Linked DNA regions of Caenorhabditis elegans. The protein of the gene in region 2 interacts with the protein of the main gene of each other region in a pairwise test. Each region holds a gene or a part of one and is shown on either strand. Other genes may lie near its edges. The genes, in order: apr-1, F54D5.5 and mpz-4.

Evidence for each region.
Region 1: the proteins of F54D5.5 (region 2) and apr-1 interact in a two-hybrid assay, tested with the Caenorhabditis elegans proteins (one large-scale study listed by BioGRID).
Region 3: the proteins of F54D5.5 (region 2) and mpz-4 interact in a two-hybrid assay, tested with the Caenorhabditis elegans proteins (one large-scale study listed by BioGRID).

What each region holds. Positions count from the first base shown.
Region 1 is NC_003279.8:8,048,178-8,055,978, forward strand, and holds apr-1 (Adenomatous polyposis coli protein-related protein 1), read left to right. Parts: upstream 1-1,865; coding exon 1,866-2,048; intron 2,049-2,252; coding exon 2,253-2,407; intron 2,408-2,456; coding exon 2,457-3,183; intron 3,184-3,675; coding exon 3,676-4,263; intron 4,264-4,304; coding exon 4,305-5,858; intron 5,859-6,522; coding exon 6,523-6,804; intron 6,805-6,886; coding exon 6,887-6,964; 3' UTR 6,965-7,291; downstream 7,292-7,801. Other genes in the region: K04G2.7 (HTH CENPB-type domain-containing protein), read right to left, coding at 1-71, 995-1,154; K04G2.9 (MARVEL domain-containing protein), read right to left, coding at 7,405-7,506. UniProt on the Caenorhabditis elegans protein: Has a role in endoderm cell specification and pharyngeal development. Required for the migration of epithelial cells, organization of the anterior seam cells and ceh-13 expression during embryo morphogenesis.
Region 2 is NC_003280.10:11,563,993-11,569,031, reverse strand, and holds F54D5.5 (uncharacterized protein), read left to right. Parts: upstream 1-2,011; coding exon 2,012-2,189; intron 2,190-2,313; coding exon 2,314-2,405; intron 2,406-2,651; coding exon 2,652-3,362; intron 3,363-3,414; coding exon 3,415-3,703; intron 3,704-4,270; coding exon 4,271-4,479; downstream 4,480-5,039. Other genes in the region: F54D5.23 (Ovule protein), read left to right, coding at 1-77; F54D5.15 (ZM domain-containing protein), read left to right, coding at 4,879-4,912.
Region 3 is NC_003282.8:4,824,855-4,829,059, forward strand, and holds mpz-4 (PDZ domain-containing protein), read right to left. Parts: upstream 2,467-4,205; 5' UTR 2,412-2,466; coding exon 2,310-2,411; intron 2,012-2,309; coding exon 1,901-2,011; intron 1,853-1,900; coding exon 1,635-1,852; intron 1,588-1,634; coding exon 1,439-1,587; intron 1,384-1,438; coding exon 1,073-1,383; intron 1,028-1,072; coding exon 852-1,027; intron 808-851; coding exon 666-807; 3' UTR 634-665; downstream 1-633. Other genes in the region: tat-2 (Phospholipid-transporting ATPase), read right to left, coding at 3,222-3,257, 3,673-3,790, 3,897-3,994.

The DNA.
Region 1 (7,801 bases), on a different chromosome or scaffold from region 2:
CAAATTAATCCACCGATCAGAGACATCGAAGCCGCAAATTCTGCGAATCTCACGCCTCATCCATTCGTCTCCTTAAAACACTTTTTTTTCTATTTAAGTTTTCAAATTTGATTCAAATATATTAGTTGATCCTTTTATCAACTTTAGGTATTCTATCTGTGCTTCGATATACTACGGTCTAATTTGGAAGCCATATATGAACATTATAATTACCCATATTGTGCAGGGTATATGTTCACATAATATAAAAGGCCTGTTCAGTTCAAAAAGTATACTCCAAAATCATTGGAAAGTCATTTTATGAATGAAAACTGTCGTATCTCATCACTCAAATTTTCACACCTCGTTAGTTACAGTTCTATTCATTCCGGTAACCCTATTGTGTTGGGACATAAGATTCCTGATGGGACCACAAAAAAGTGGTGGCGTGTTTGCTACCCAACACAAATACCCTTGACTAGAGAAAGGGACTACGCAATCGTCGCGCAATCTGCCCCTTTCTCAACAGCAACAACCAAATTGGCTTGTTGAGAGGAAAAACAGTAGGTGGGATTACACACACTTTCTCTATCTGCCTAATATCTCTGTATCCTTTTCTGCTATTTTTTCGGCGCGAAATTTGAATTTGAATATCATAATTTCGTGGCAAGATCTAACTCCATTTTAAAGGTAGACGATTATTTTATCGGTGGGTCTCGCCAAGATCTCCGGAATTTTTATTGTGACCGAACCCAAATTTCATGATTTTTCAAAAATAATTTTAAGTGAATGTATAATAATGAATAGAAAAAGTCTGAATGTTCAGAACCTAGTCGGGTCGACTGAATTTTTGGAAAACATTTAGCGAACGTACATCACCCAAATTGTTAAAATAAACAGAGAAACATTCTATTCGTACCTATTCAGCCTAAATCAACCATTACATCCGTCTCCCAGTTTTTCCATTCCCACCTTCTAAATTGTATCATATATATATATATATATAAAATCTCACCTATATGTTGAGTACTCTGTCCATTGCTATCGCACATCTTCACCTCTTCATTATAGACATTAAATAGTTTCTGCTCTAACTCGCCTTCTTCAATACGACAGTTCGACGAGCTAGATGTAGAAGATGTTGAAGGACTCGAAGTAGATGTAGTAGTTGCCATTCAACGCAAATACACAAAATGAACTATTCTCTTGTCTTTTTTCTTCTTAGTTTTACCCCCGTTCAAACGCCTCCTTCCGATTCATCTTGTTGGTTGCAAACCATTTTTACCTTTCGTGCGCCGGTTTTGGAACTGCGGAACACGTAGTGTACTGTGTGGCGCCCTCCCTGTATAGTTATACACTCGACACTGCATATTTACATTGCGTTTCTTCGGTTTTCTGAAGGTCAAACCGATTGACTTCATCTCTGTTTCTTCTTTTTTTTTCAACCGAGGGGTTCGTGGCTGGCCTTCGAGTACTTTTGAACCATGGACAGCATAGTTTTCCATGTTGTTTTTACGGCCTTGAAAATTGAAGAATAGCAGCAAAAACGGTCACCTCTCGCATTGTAAACACCTGTTCTTTCGAATCAAAATGGGAATAAAACCACGAAGGAGTTTAATTAAAAGTGCTATTCAAGCTGGAACAAGAAATATTTTCGGTCCAAAAAATTGAAATCATTCAGAAAACCAACAATATAACAAGAAAAATTTAGGTTTTGAGTTTGTTTTGAAAGCTTAACAATTTTTTGTTTTCAAATATTAATTTGTTAAAAGAGTGATTTTTAACAATTATTATTTATTGGAATACATTGATGTACCTTTTCTATTTCTTATATATTCTCTTCAAATATATCAAAGATCATTCAAAATAATAAAATTAAATTTCAGATGAGCTCTAGTAGTAGTGATGAAAATGAAACAACGATACACAGAACAGGATCAAATACCGGTGGAAGTGGAATCTACTCACAACCTCGAGCAGGATCATCAAAAAGAACATCGAATGTGCGACATGATGTTAGTGATGTAGATGATGAAGAAGAGCATTATGCAAGATTTCGCGAAGATACGGTAAGGATTGTTGGAAAAAACAGATTTTCGATGTTGGTAAAAGGCCAAGTTTTGACTTTTTGAGGAATTTGAGCAATTTTTGTACCTGTACAATGGTCTTCTAAGTAAAAAAAATCGGAGCGTAAAAAATTAGAATATAAAAGTATTTTTTAAGCTTTTTAACTATTTTTTCTGAAAATACAATATTTAAAAGTTTAATTACAGGCGATCGAGGTTGACGATGCTATAACAGTTCTTCTTTCATCTCTACATTTCGAACACAAACGTGATATTGTTCCGACCGATGAAGATGATAATAAACTTCGAGAACTTCACGAAAAGATTTTTGCATTGATAACGAGTGAATCTGATGTTAACAGGTAAATCCGAAATTTTCAGAATATTTTTCAAAAAATCGTTTAATTTTAGAAAAAGACGGCTGAAAAAAGCTCTTCCTGCGTCAAACTGTGTTAGAGAACAAGTATATTATCTTCGAAGGAAACCATCAACACCACCAGCTTCTTATTATCATCGACTAAATGCAGCTCTTCACACAATCGTTAAGGAATCATTTGGAGAAGAATATCGAAAAGTTGCTACAGTATTAGGACTTGTTGAAGCGCTTGCAGAAGTTTTAATTCTTGAAGTTCACACATTTGGAATCAATGAGACCAATCCTGGAGAGCATCGAAATATTCGAAAACTTATTGCCAATGCTCTTACGAATTTAACATACGGTCAAATTCACTCTAAACGCCGGCTATGCTCATATGATGGATTCATTCGATGCGTTGTTCGAATTGTGATCGAATCTCCAAATATAACTCAAGTATACGCTGGACTAATCAGAAATCTCTCATGGAACGCCGATTCAGGAATGAGTGAAGCTCTTCAACCAACAGTTCATGCACTTTCAATTGCTGCAGTACATGCACATACACATAGATTCGATGTTACAGCAACATTATCTGCTTTGTGGAATCTTGCTGGTCACTCAGTAGAGAATAAACGAACTATTTGTGATACTCCGAATTGTTTAAAAGTATTAGCCAGCCTTCTATCTCCTGATGCAAGATTCACGTCACTTGTTGATTCAGCTACTGGAATTCTGAAGTATGTATCACAATATCTCGCGAATACTTCCACGCATTTAGAGGTTAGTTTTTGATTTGTTTTTGTTGAAAAATGCAAGTGAGGTTTCAAAGTTATCTTTTTTTTTCATAAATAGAAAGAAAAAAATCGAAAAAAATTTCATGGCGAGTCAAAATTTTGCAAAAAAAAATCCAAATCTTGCTAAATCTTTCGTCAACTTGCGCTTGTTTCCAATTTTGGACATTTCTGAATATCGACTTAAAATGTGCCTAAATAAATTAACGAGAGATAAAAGTCAGAAAAATATGCCACAAAAAGTGATTTCTTCAACAGGGATTTTAAAAGAAAATTTTGGAAAAATTTTACCCTTTTTTTCACCTTTTTGTAAATTTTTTGAGAAGTAAGTAGGTTTTTTTTTTGAGAAATTACGAAATTCGATGGTTTTGTGTCAGTTGAAGTTTTTAGGCAAAAGAACCCACAAACACTTCCCTTTTGCACATAAAATTGATCAAACTGAACAAATATCATTATTTCAATTAATCCAATAAAATTTCAGCTAAGAAGCTTGCTCATCACTCGAATGCTCACTTTGCTCAAGAGTGCCTCGTTCACTTGTGTTACAAATACTCTAGGAGCTATTGCAAACCTAATTGTCAAAGATCCCCACATGCAGCAAATGATTCGGCAGGATATGGCTGCAGTACAGCAACTCAACGTACTCCGAAACTCGAATCGTGATGATATTCGGACAGCAGTGAAGTCTGTGCTGAATACTCTTAATCAACCGTGTAGTCATCGTTATGGTGATATGTCACATTCTGTTGGAGGAGGAGCCACAGGGATGCAAATGCTTTCGGAGCCACAACTTCAGATGCAAACATCTCATCATGCTTATCATGGAACTGCGTCACCAAGATTACTATCACTGAGAGCAACTCGAGCATCACCTGGAAAATATATACAACCACAGGCTCAACAACAGTTGATACAGACTCCACAAGTTGATCAAAGATCTAGTAGTCTGCCAAGACATTTTGCCGTTCAACGAAATGGATTTGTGATGGCACAGTCCTACAATCAACAAATGGATCAACATCAGCAACAACAAATGATCTATCAATTGCAGCAACAACAACAAATTATGGTAACGATTTTCCAGCGTTTTTTTCTGTAATTTTCTCTTAGTTTCAGACGGAGGATCAAGCGCAAATGGAACATCATCAACAAATCATGTACCTTCAGCAGCAACAACAACAATTTCATCAAATTCAACAACAGCAACAAATGCAAAAAGCTCAGGAAGCTGATCCAGTTCCTCCTACGGATGACGATCTAGATATTCCCACATCTACCGTAATGGGAACACGAAGTAACAGTGAAAGAAGTCTCGGCTCGATGAATCCTGGAAGTGTTATGACAAACTGGAATTCTTCTCTGGATACTGCAGCCAACAGTTCTCGTGCTCTTTCTCCTGTATCATACAATGATATTCCAGCTTCTCCAACAATGTGTGCTCAGGTGTTCAATTTACCTAAATCCACTGAATCGGAACATCATCAATTGACGTCTCAACAGCAGAACACTACACATTATAGCAGTGGATCAGCTAACACTATGACTCGGAGTGATGGTGCAACTACTGTGCCAATGGATAACATTATTACACCAACTTATGCTATTTTGAATCCAATATTGGTACACGAACAGACACCGAACGGGACAGTTCCACGAAAGACTTCAGAAGAGTTGGATAGTCCTGATGATGTTCTCCCAGGTCCATCTCTTGAGGAGGAAGAAGGTGATTATGCTATAATAGGAGGTGCCGCACAAAAGACAGATGACGAGCTTTTGACTCGTTCTATTCAATCTGAAATGCCTACTTCGTCGTCTACTCCGAAGATGAAAGTCTCGCCTCGCCTTAATGGATTCTTCTCTCCAACTCAGAAAACAACATCGTCTCCTGCATGGTCTCATCCAGATACCTCACCGATTCCAAAGTCATCTTCTCATCGAACTCAACCTAATCGTCGTCAAGATGCTTCTGATGCAGATCGTCTTTTAATGGAATCAATAATGTCAGAGATGCCAAAAAGTCGAATTATATCTCCACGACTTGCTGGTACACAACAATATCTTGAACCCGAGCCAGAGAGAAGAAGTCATTCAAAAAACGAGGAAGCCGATCGCCGCGACGCATTCACCGCATCGCATGAGCCCAGCGATCATAACGGCATTGATGTGGCAAGAGGCTCAGACTGGTCTCCACAACAACAATTACATCGAATGGAGTCATTGGAAAGCCAAGCTAGTAGTGAAGATAGTTTTGGATTAACTGCTGAAGAACCAAATTCATCAACTTCTGGTGCTGCTGCAAACACTATGAGATTTGACGATGAGATCGATGCATCTCTTCCAATGGATTGTGTCGATGATGATGATTACGACTATACTTATGATCATTTCGAAGATTATGAAGATGAGGAGGATCCTGATGCGACTCAGTTTGATGATGGAGTTGATGCACAACTAACTATCGATTGTTCAATGATTTCTAGTGGAAGCGGTTCATCGCAAAGAAATGAAACTACGACAACGTCACGAGATTCAAAAGCTTTAGCTACTTCCACACCAAAAGGATCTGCATCTTCACTCCCAGGAGTTCGACAAGCCACCCGAGTATCAACGAATGGAAAGTCAAGACTGCCTGTTCCAAAAACGAATGGATCACTTGTTGATAAGGTATTTATTCTATTAAAAAACTCTGATTTTATAGAATTAAACAATGTCTCATGAAAATTGAAAATCGAAAAAAACGAGAGAAAATTCAAAAAATTAATCACAAAATTCAATTGTATATTGATGAAAAAAAATATTTAAAAAAAACATAACTTTTGCCTAAAAATAGTAATATGACCAATATTTGAGATTTTTTCGAAAACCCGAAATTGTTTTTCAATATATCGGGAAAAAAAAAACGAAAATGTTCGATTTTAGAAAAAAATCCAAACTTGAACCAACAAAAAATGAAAACTGGTAAAAACTCGGCATTTGGCTCTAGCTTCTTGCCCAAGTTTAGACAGCTTCTGATCCAAGTTAATTTTTTTTTGTTTTATTAACGTAAATGAGTACAGTAGAAAAACAAACTTTAAAAAATATATCAGAGATATTTAACTTTTGAAAAAAAAAACACTAAAAACCATAAATAAACCCACATTTTGTTAAAGAATATTTGTAAAATATGGAAAAATAGAAAGTGAGTTTTTTATTAATTTTTTTTTAGCAAAAAAAAATCAAAAAATGCCGAGCCCTGCTCCCAATTTTTTTAAATTAACTTTGATAAAATCAAAGACCAACTGAATTCTAAACGTTTCAAATTAGATTTTCAAACCTCGCTTTTTTGCAGAATCCCAAGCCAATCATCGCTTCCCGGCGGCCACGATTGCCACCGAAGCCGACACTTTTAAAAGATAAGCACTATCCAGAAGAGGATTCGATTGAGAATCAGACGAGAGATGATACGATATATGTGAATGCTCCAGTTGTTGAGGCAGAACAAGAACGAATTTATATGAATGCATTGAAGCAACAGAAGAACATTGAGCAATCACCGTCAATTGGAAACGGATCACCTATAGCTAAATCTGCAATTGTAACGCCCTACAATTATCAGAAACCGCCTTTCACTGTAAGAAAATAATTACTTTTTTTTAAAAAGTACAGTATCAATTCAAACATGAAGAAATATTCTTTAAAATAAACATTTTCAGGGTCGAAATAATGGTGAAATGAGCAACGAGAAGAGTGTGACACCGAATCCTAAACAAATGCTTGTAACAATAGTCTAATGATCCGCTCATATACCGAACCTTGTTCTTTGTATCCCCGTCATCTCTAGTCGTTCCCAGTTTCTAGTCGAGTGTTCTCATCTTCTTATTCTACCTCGAACTTTTATATTATTGTCTAATGGACCCTGTAATCATATTTCTAGCGCTGGCAATATACTATGTTTTCCAATTTTCTGTAAAATGTGATTTGGTTCTTGTTCTTGTTTCCATTACCTGACCGCTCAATACATAGCTGTTAATATGTTTCATTCAATTTGTAATACGAGTTCTTTCAACCTCACTCTGCTCCATTGTTTTCTCATCTTTTTTGAATCATAAATATTGTATATATTTATTAGTGTGAAGAAGTATTTGTTTTATTAGAAATCGGCAGGAATGGGAGAAAAAAAAACACGAGAGAATCAGTTATATTATGCAAACTTTCAAAGAAACCATTATCTTCAATATAGTTCTTCTCTGGATATGTTACGAAGTGAATGACGATTCTTATGAGTGAGGAAGGCAGTCAGTGCGTAGAAAATTCCCAGGATGAATGTTAGGAACTGAAAAATTAGGTTCATAGGTTTTTTGAGAGTTTTTTGTTGAGGAAAAATCCAGAAGAAAAGGAGCTAGTGGTGGATAGTTTATCTCTTTGTAACTTTTTTGATTTTCGAGTTAAGAATAAATTGTTACCCAGACGTGAATTTTGCGATTTTTGCGCCAAAAGTACGGTATCTGGTCTCGACACGACGAATTTTTTGTGAAATACAAAAGGTGTGCTATTGTAATTTCAAAATTTATATCGATTTTTATAGCTTTTCGTTAAAGACATATTCGTTTATCAAAAAAAACTATAAA
Region 2 (5,039 bases):
TCAATGGGATACCTCTGAAGTCACCCTTTCCATCTTCTTCTTCTCACACCTCAAAAGCAAACAAATACCATCTGTGAATTGTGTCTTTTCCTGTGTGAACGACTACCTTCAATTAGTCAAATCGGACGACATACCGTATACACCTGTTGAGTAGAATAAACGGTAGCCGCTAAAGAGAGTGAGCCCTTCCGCGCGGACTAACAACAGCTGCTCATCGGAAAAATCTCTCAGCGATTTCATTTTTCATTCACATAAGTTATTGTTTTGTGAGGAAAGTTTATTTTATTGTTGTTTTTTGTTGTTTTTTTTTGCATGAAAATTGAATTCATAGAATACCCAAATTTCCTAATGAAACACTAAAATTTCCTAGATTTTTGGCAATATTTAAATAAAGTTTTGGTAAATTACCAAATTATCAAAATATTGGTATCTTTTTTGAATAGTTTCGAGTGCAACAAAGGTTAAACCAAATTAAGATATAAACCTTGTTTAAACTTCTTTGAACTGTGGTAGGCAAAAACGAAGTCTATTAAAAAGTTCAATTTTTAACAATTAATTTTTCTTGTTGAAGAGATTAATTGTGTTATTTTGTGATTTTAGAACTATAAAAGTGGTTTTAAGATCTTTAGATAACAAAAATCAATATTGCTACTTACCAATAACTAATGCTAACTTGGTACATAGATAATATCTTGCTCAACTACACACTCTAATTCTACTACGTGGTTCAGTTATACCTCCCGGCTACCGACTACTGCTCCGTTGCAATCACCACCCTTTGTTCTGGACAGTTCAAAGGATCAATGCCGAACGTTTATTTGAATTGCCTTCAGCGGCGGTTATTTTTCTGTTTGCTCGTACTTTTCTGTCAGTGTGTACTGATTTTTTTCAAAAAAAAAAAGATGCCAAAATTGGTAGTTTGACCGGTTTTTGAGTGATATACTTTGGGCAGCTTTGCAATTTTTCAAACGTTTTCTACAAAAGTTATAGTTTAGTCTCATTTCACTAACTATTTATTTTATTAATTTTCTGACAGAAAATATCTTCTAAAGTTCAAATTTCTTAAAATTTTAAACAAATTTTCAGGCTACAGTACACGCGTTCAAGGCGTGGTGGGGCCCACGAAATATTGTCTTGTCTAATTGGCCAATATTCAAAATTTAATTTAAAAACCATTTTCTTCGAATGTTTTTTCCTCAAATAAGTTCTGACGGAAAACATATTATATTTGTTCATGAATTCCAGATTCTTTAGCATCTAGTTACGTTACTGTAAAATCTCATGTGTTTGTATTCTAGAGAGGTCAACAGATTCCTCCTGCTTATTTTCAAACTCGGATTAATTTGCATTTGACATCTATCATGCTTCTCATGCTTCTCATGCCCATTATACCCTTAATGTCATATCCGTCTCCTCCCGAGGCGCGCGTTCTCCAATTCGAATTAGGCGGACCTTCTGCCATGTATAGGATGCGAAGCGGTCCGCGCGTCGCGGTTATATTTGTGGCGGCAATCATCGCGATTCAAATCGTCAACGCTGGCAGCACCAAGAAGAGGAGACACACTACGCAATTCTCCACTTCAAAGACTCGACACCGCCTCGATGCTGATCGTCGATTGCGAGGTCCGAAGGGGGCTAGGGAGAGAGCGCGCGAGACTAAGAGACGCAGACGCAAACGCTTGGAGAAGACCTCGTCTATTGGTGAAAGGAGAGGAGGAGACAGGCGGTTTGGTGACTGCTGTCTCCACACCATTTTTCTCTTCTTCCCGTCTCCTAACACACCCTCCCGATACCTTATGAGGCGTACAGTCGGGAGAGACTTGTTGAATTACGTAAGTTGAGCTCCTGATATAGTTCTGCTTGCTCTTACCGTACTAATGGAGTTCTAGTACTTGACCTCTGGTTATCCAATATCAAAATTTTACTCGTTTTTTTTTGTTTTCTTAGATTAGATTTCAATCGATAAGCTCTTTGTGCTCAGAATTTGGGAAGAAAAAGTGGAACTTTCCCAATGCATTATCTTGTCTTTTTTGACCTACTTTTCAAACCGCCAATAACTCTTTCACCAATTGATCTCCCCACATTTCCAGTCCATATTTCACTGTCCGTCAAGGTCTCCGCCACTCACTCTATAGGCCCCCATGTTCTCCCCATTGACCACCCAGTTCGGCTCGCTTTGATCTCCCACTGTGCGTTCCTCTCCTTTCCCCCTCATTTACTTAATGAACTGTTCTCTTTCTCTTTCATTTCCGTTCGTGTTTTTTTGTGTCTACGCCTTTTCATTAGAACTTTTTTAAATTCAGTTTTTTTCAGCCGCAGATACTACAAAAATGGCGGCGATCATACGAACACTATTCAAGAGCAAAAAATCGAAAAAGGGAGATGAGGAGAATAACGAGGATTTGGTTAGTTTTTCTAAACTTATTTTTTGGTTTATATTGGTGATTGATAATTAATATCTCAAAACTAGAAAGTGCATTGAAAATAGACTGTCCTTTTACGGATTGACCTACAACAAACGCGGAAATTTTCCTCCAATCAGTTGAGAAGTCGCGTCTAAATTTCCGTGATTCTTGTAGATCAAGCCAACATGGTGCACTCTGACATCACGTGAAATTTGAAATTTTCAAATTCAAATTGTTAATTTCCAGGCTCGCGAAGTCTCCAATCGCCGTTCATTCCGTGCACCGAGCACCTCATCCTCCAAATCACAAAGACGAGCTGTTGCTCGCTTCGCCGACGATGGAGCTCTTCCCGCCACTGCCGCCTATCACACAACATCAGCACCAAAACTTCGTAAAGGTCCTCAAAGCTGTCCGGGAGGTTATCGTGACGAGTCAGATGTGTCGTACGAGTCTGACAAGTATTCACAGAAGAGCAATTCACATCGGAGGCGTGACGTGCTTCATCAGTCGATGCGACAAAACTACACGATAGACGAAGGACGGAAACCGAGTAGCAGACGTCATCATAGCAGCAAAAGTGATTTCCGTCGACGTGGTGAATCTTCAGAATACGGAAGTGGTGATCCATCACCGGTTGGACAATACAGCAGTCGTCATTCACATTACGAGGACAGAATTGAAGAATCAGAAAATGATGATTTCAGTGAAAAGGCTCAGTTTGCAGTCATCGAGCGTGCTCAACAACATTACATGCAAAAGTACAAAGAGTCTGAACAAAAGCGACGGGAAGAAAAGAGAAAGTTGAAGGATATGGAGAAAGAGTGCAATGATGCCAAAAACGCCATGTTCCACTATATGAATCAGTTGGATAAAGTGAAGAAGGAGCGGGATTGCTATAGAAAAGAGCTCAGTCGGTGCAAGAAGCAGCTCGAGGCTTTCCAGAATTCCGGATATGATGTAAGTTCATATTATTATTTCAGAGAACCCTCAAATAAATATAATTTTTCAGGCATTCCACCATCTCCGTCAACCACAAATATCAAATCCTCAGCAATATCCACCTCCATTGAGCATGGGCTCCTACCCTTATATGAGCCAATCCATGAATGCTTCTCACCACATGTCATCTAACTTCATGAATAGTGCTCCACCATCAAGCAACACACCGATGACAATGACAAGTGGAGCCGGAGAGTCATTGATAAATCCGTCTGATGTCAGCTTCCTTCAAAATTCATTCCTTCAACCAACTTCTCAAGGTCTTACGGGAATGACTCCACCACCTGGAGGATTCAAGGGTGCGTCCGAAACTTTTTATTCAAACGATACTTCTTCTTCTAACATTAATTTCAATCAATAATCTAATATCTAATCATGTTCATTGCCATATAAATTCGCTTTAAATTTTCAATTATATTTGTTGCTTCACGGTGTGTGGCAAATTTTGAAATTTTGCCGAACTCGGCAAATTTGGCAATTTTGCCATGCTCGTCATACTCGGTAAATCGCAATATTTTTTGAAGCTCAAAAACTGGTTTCGCTCAATTTTTGCCCAATGCGCGTGTGGATTTCTTGAATAAAAAAAAATGAAAGAAACACAATGTTATTTTTTTTCATTAAGTTTCTGATCGAAACCATTAGTTTTCAGCAAACGGCAAATTCGGCAAATTTGCCGCACCTCTGGTGTCCCATTTCCGTATGATCTACAGTAAATACAGAACTTTTTGCCCAGAAAAAATTGGTCTCAGTACGATTTGAACAATTCAAAATCTGTTGAGAAGTCTGCGTATAAATTCTCGCAGTTCTTGTAGATAAAACCAACATGAAGCTTTAAAAGACTATATCATGATTTCAAATAATTTCAGTGCCCACAAACTACGGAGATGATGATCGAGATGAAGTGAAAGACTATCGTTCCGAACTTTTAATCGAAACTTCAAGAAGTACTAAAGAAGTCGACAGCATTTCTCCGTCAAGCTCTGCTGACAGCCAAGTGACTCTACTTGATCATTCCACAATAGATAAGGAGAATCGGAAGCCACCGTCTCGTCCATTCTCTATGATGTCGATTTAATTGCTTTATTTTCCATTTTCCAGATTGTCAGCTATTTTTTCTACTTTCTCTTTTTGTATTCAATTTTCTCAAGAGTTATGTCGGTTTTTTTTCATTTCTACCTTATAACCATCTCTTCTTTAATAAACCCGAAACAGGATCTTGTCTTTCCGCACAAATCCAAATATTATCAGTTGTGTTTGTATGTGTGTGCGGCTCTCATCACCACCACCGGTCGAAACATTTGGAGATGCTCTGGCTCCGCGCGTTCCACTCTCTGCGGCTCTTGATTCGTCTGATCTATTGCGTCGGCGCCATCAGCACTTCACGCATCTTCACCTCTCGTATTGGGAAAGAGTCCGAGAGCCATTCTCTATCCCTTCCTCTACTACTCGATTTTTCCTATTCCTGCATCACTTTATGGCACATCGATCGGCACCGTTTATCAGTAACAGTTAATTTTAATATTTTTTTGGTTCCGATTTGATAAAACTAATATTTATAATTAATAATAACATATTTTCAAAAAAAAAAAGTAGGAACGTCCATTTTCCGGGGTATTGCAAAAAATGATGCTGTAG
Region 3 (4,205 bases), on a different chromosome or scaffold from region 2:
GAAGTATTTTTTTAAAAATTGATAAAAATATATAAAAGCTGATTTTTTCAAAAATTCAAAAGTCCTGTAAAATCATATGGAGTCATTCTTTTTTATTTCATAAAACTATTCAGCATAGTCAAAAACACCAGAATCTGTCAATCAAAGTATAATAGCTTGTACGGAAGTATTTTTTTAAAAATTGATAAAAATATATAAAAGCTGATTTTTTCAAAAATTCAAAAGTCCTGTAAAATCATATGGAGTCATTCTTTTTTATTTCATAAAACTCTTAAGCATAGTCAAAAATAGCAGCAAATGCCGAACAGAGTATAATAGCTTGTACGGGTGTTTTTTTTTAATTGATAAAAATATATAAAAGCTGATTTTCAAAAAAATTTTTCGGAAATTTGAAATGATTGAATAAAACAATCTAGCTGAAATTAATGTTTAACTAAAGTATTTTCCAAAAAATGTTAAATTGTTCCATCACCGATGTTAGATTTTCCAATAATTAAAAAAAAAATTTTTAGGTGCGACCCATCATTGGCTTTTTAGCGGGCCTTCACGTACATTTGGTTAATGTCTCGCTTTTAGCGCTTTACCTGTGCTGTCTAACACACAGAAGGTCGGTGGTTCGAGCCCGCCCGAGATCAGTCAAATGTTTTATTAAAGAAGAATGAAGTTCATTTTTTAACCGGCATGTTCGAAGATGCCGATTCGGTCACCTTGGTCTTCAGCGGCGGGAGCCAAACGAAAAGCTTCGAGTTCCATTCCGCCGGAATAAAAAATTCTTCAGTTGTGTTGTTGAATCCAACAGCCGGGTCCCTGAATTAGTTGAAGATTTTATCTTAATTTATTTAAAAACATACTTTTTGGTAACTTTCGCATCACTCTTCTTCTTCCCAACTTCTCCCGGCCCTTCTTCCTCTTTTAAAATGGGAGCCAACGCTTTTCCATTTTTCAGAGCTTCAATTCCTTCTACAAAGTATTTACGGACATCTCCACAAAGCAAGTATTGCGGTCGTTCGGCAGTTCTCATAACATTCTGCAATTAAAATAGAAGAAAAAAAATGTGAGGCAAATAACCAACTGCAAGCTGTCCCCGAACCATATTTTTGATTGGATCCGTATTCGGATACTCAACCAACAATCGAATCCATCCATTCGCCTCAAATCCTTCGCGAAATCGTTGACGATTATCTGCCAGAGTGTTGATTGGTTTATCATCAACAGCAATAATAGCTTCACCAATATTCAAACTACAATGTGAAACTGAATCCGGAATAGTGTAGTTGACCACCACTTTTCTGTCGACCTGCTGCACGTTCAGACCAAGCTGCAGGTATTTGAATTGGTAGAGAATGGCCAAATCGATGGTGTGATCCTGTGTGGCTAAGATACCTGAAATTATATGAAAATTACTGTTTCACAATAAGAAACAAATATTCAAACTTACCATTTGGAATCTTAGACGTAGACATTCTGTTCTTCAATCTAGCGACCAGAACCGTAATCTTTGTCTCAGATTTTGAGTTCAAAATCTTTCCGACAACAACCTTGAAGTCTGGATAAAGTGAATGTGGTGCTCTCACAGGTTCAGTTTTCCTTAATAAGGTAAATATTTTTCAAGTTTTCATAACATTTGTCCTTACGGTGTAGTCGTTGGCTTCCTCTTAACAGTCTTCACATTTGACTGGAGACTTGCTCCACCGGTGGTCTCGTCGACATGCTCTGTCAATTGTTTCTCATCGAATGAGACAGTCGTACCGTTCACTTGCAAGATGATGTCACCCGGTAGAATTGCTCCTTTGAATGGGCTCGCGTAATGAACACGAGTGACCAACCCATGTCGATTGACGAGTCCGAGTTGCTGGAAATCAAAAACGTTTTACATAAAGTCATTGATGATGTCGCTTACCGTTATTTTATCCTTCTTTGGGAGCTCAAATGTGGCCTCTACAAGCATTTTGTAGCTGTTTGGAACTGGTTCTCCACGCAGAATGACCACATCTTTGACTCGAGCTTCTATCTGAAATACGTGTTTCTAGAATAGAAATAACTTTTAAAATAAAATTATGTTTCACTACTAGTGTACCATTAAAAAAACCATTAAACCATTAAAAAAAAGAAAGTTTGATTCTATAATAAAATATTCTTTCGAACACCCCCGACTGCCTCAATTACTTAGTTCAAGAAATATTGTTCACAATGAAGAAAAATAAATTAATTATTAAAAAAATCTTGAATAAAGTTCAAAAATTATTATTCAAATTTCTCACTGTTTCGATTCCAAATCCAACTTCCAAATTCCAAAAAACCCCTCTCACCTCTCCCTTCTTGAATCCGGGCCGCTCCCAAACCGTGTCTATTCCCTCTGCACCTTCCGGATAGATTTTATATTTGACTGCAGGTGGAATTTCTTGTGGCATCTTTTCAAGCTATCAAATGCTTTGAATTGAATTTGTTTGATACTTGAATTATCGATTGTTGTGAAATAAATTAGAATCGAGAAGAACAATGATAAGAGGGGGTGGGGGGGAGGGAATAAAAAATTAGAGCAATTGATCGAACGTGAAGATAAAATATCAAAGGTCAGAATTATTAAATCTTTTTCAACGTGATTTTCTAACTTTTTTTTAGAACTGAACTTATTGAGAATGTTTTCGGCATAAAACTGCAAAATCGCGTGATTCAAAATCAATCATTTATGTTTTATGTTTTTTCTTGGGACACGATTCGTATGGAATCGTATTAAAATAAATAAATAAATAAATCGTTGAAACGTGTGAGTTTGAAAATTACTTACCAACGAAGCAAATTAAATTGTGAAATCCAAACTTTTTCACCAATTTCGAGAAACTATAGAATTTTTTAAAAACTGTTACTTTGTGTTACCTTTGTTAAAAAAAAGTAATAATAATGTCTTGAAACTGCATTTTTTTTTGAAATTTTTTTCTGCCACTGCTTGTTTAATTAAATTTTTATAGACACTGATATATTAATCAACAACAAGAATATGAACAATTATTTATTGAATATTTCAAAAATTACACGATTGGAATACATCATAAATTACCCATTTTGATATCAATCACATTATCAGCGATCACCAATTATATAATTACAGCAAATTGAAGAAAAAGAGCAAACAAAACCCAATTGAGAGCCTAAAACCGGTGCCTACAAGACGGGGAAGAATGTTTGAAAGAAAATCGGAAAATAAATGCAAAAAATGAATTTTAAAGGCGAGTGATTACGTCTGGTTGTTCTTCGACCTGTTGGAAAAATAAAATATTATATTTAGAAAAAATGTATCAAAAGTAAATTTATTGCAAAAAAAATGAATTAAAGTTGAAAACTAACAGAAAAAGGGTCAAAGCACAAAGGGTTCAAATGAAAGCACACACTGCACTGCACGAGATCAAAAAGTAGGTCAAAAGTGAATAAATTACAGTATTCCATAGGAGTACTGTATGTTGAATAGTTGTAATCTCAAAATGCATAAAAATTAATATTTAAAAAGAAAAAAATTAAGTTCTAACTATAATAAATAAGTAACACACAAACACAAGTACACACAAAATTAGATAATTTGAGCAAATTGAAACAAATAAGAATTCATTATGAAAATTATTTACAAACGCCAGATTTGGATAAAAAGCGGCAGAACCGGATGGAGCACAATTATACCTGAGTTTCCCGCGAATACACGTGGTTTCTATGGCTCCGTCCATCGCCACGGATTACTGTACCCTGCAGTGGTGATGGTTCCTTTGCATAGGCTGGACGGAAATCCGATGATTGAGACCTGTGAATAAATGGCACACAATAGAGTTACAATAGAAGTACGGTAAGTATATCAGAAGTGAAGCAACGTGCTTTAGAAGTGTGTAAAATTTTATGTGAAAACTTACCAGTCATCAGTATTTACATTCAATGTATGGGGTACATTCTGTGGACGTGTACCCATTGGAAGGTGCATTGCATTAATACTTGAAGCTCCTTGGCTGTCCTGAAATATATTATATTAGAAGGGCAAATGGATAATTTTTTGTAAAAACAAAACTGAAAAGTTAGCCCATAAGTATGTTACCCTTGAGATTTTAAAAATTACTGCTTCAAAGTTTTACTGCCTTCAAACAAAGTGAAAAAAAGTTTTGTTCGAAAAATTTAATGGAATGTTTCAACAACATTATAAATTAATAAATATGATTACTGTACAA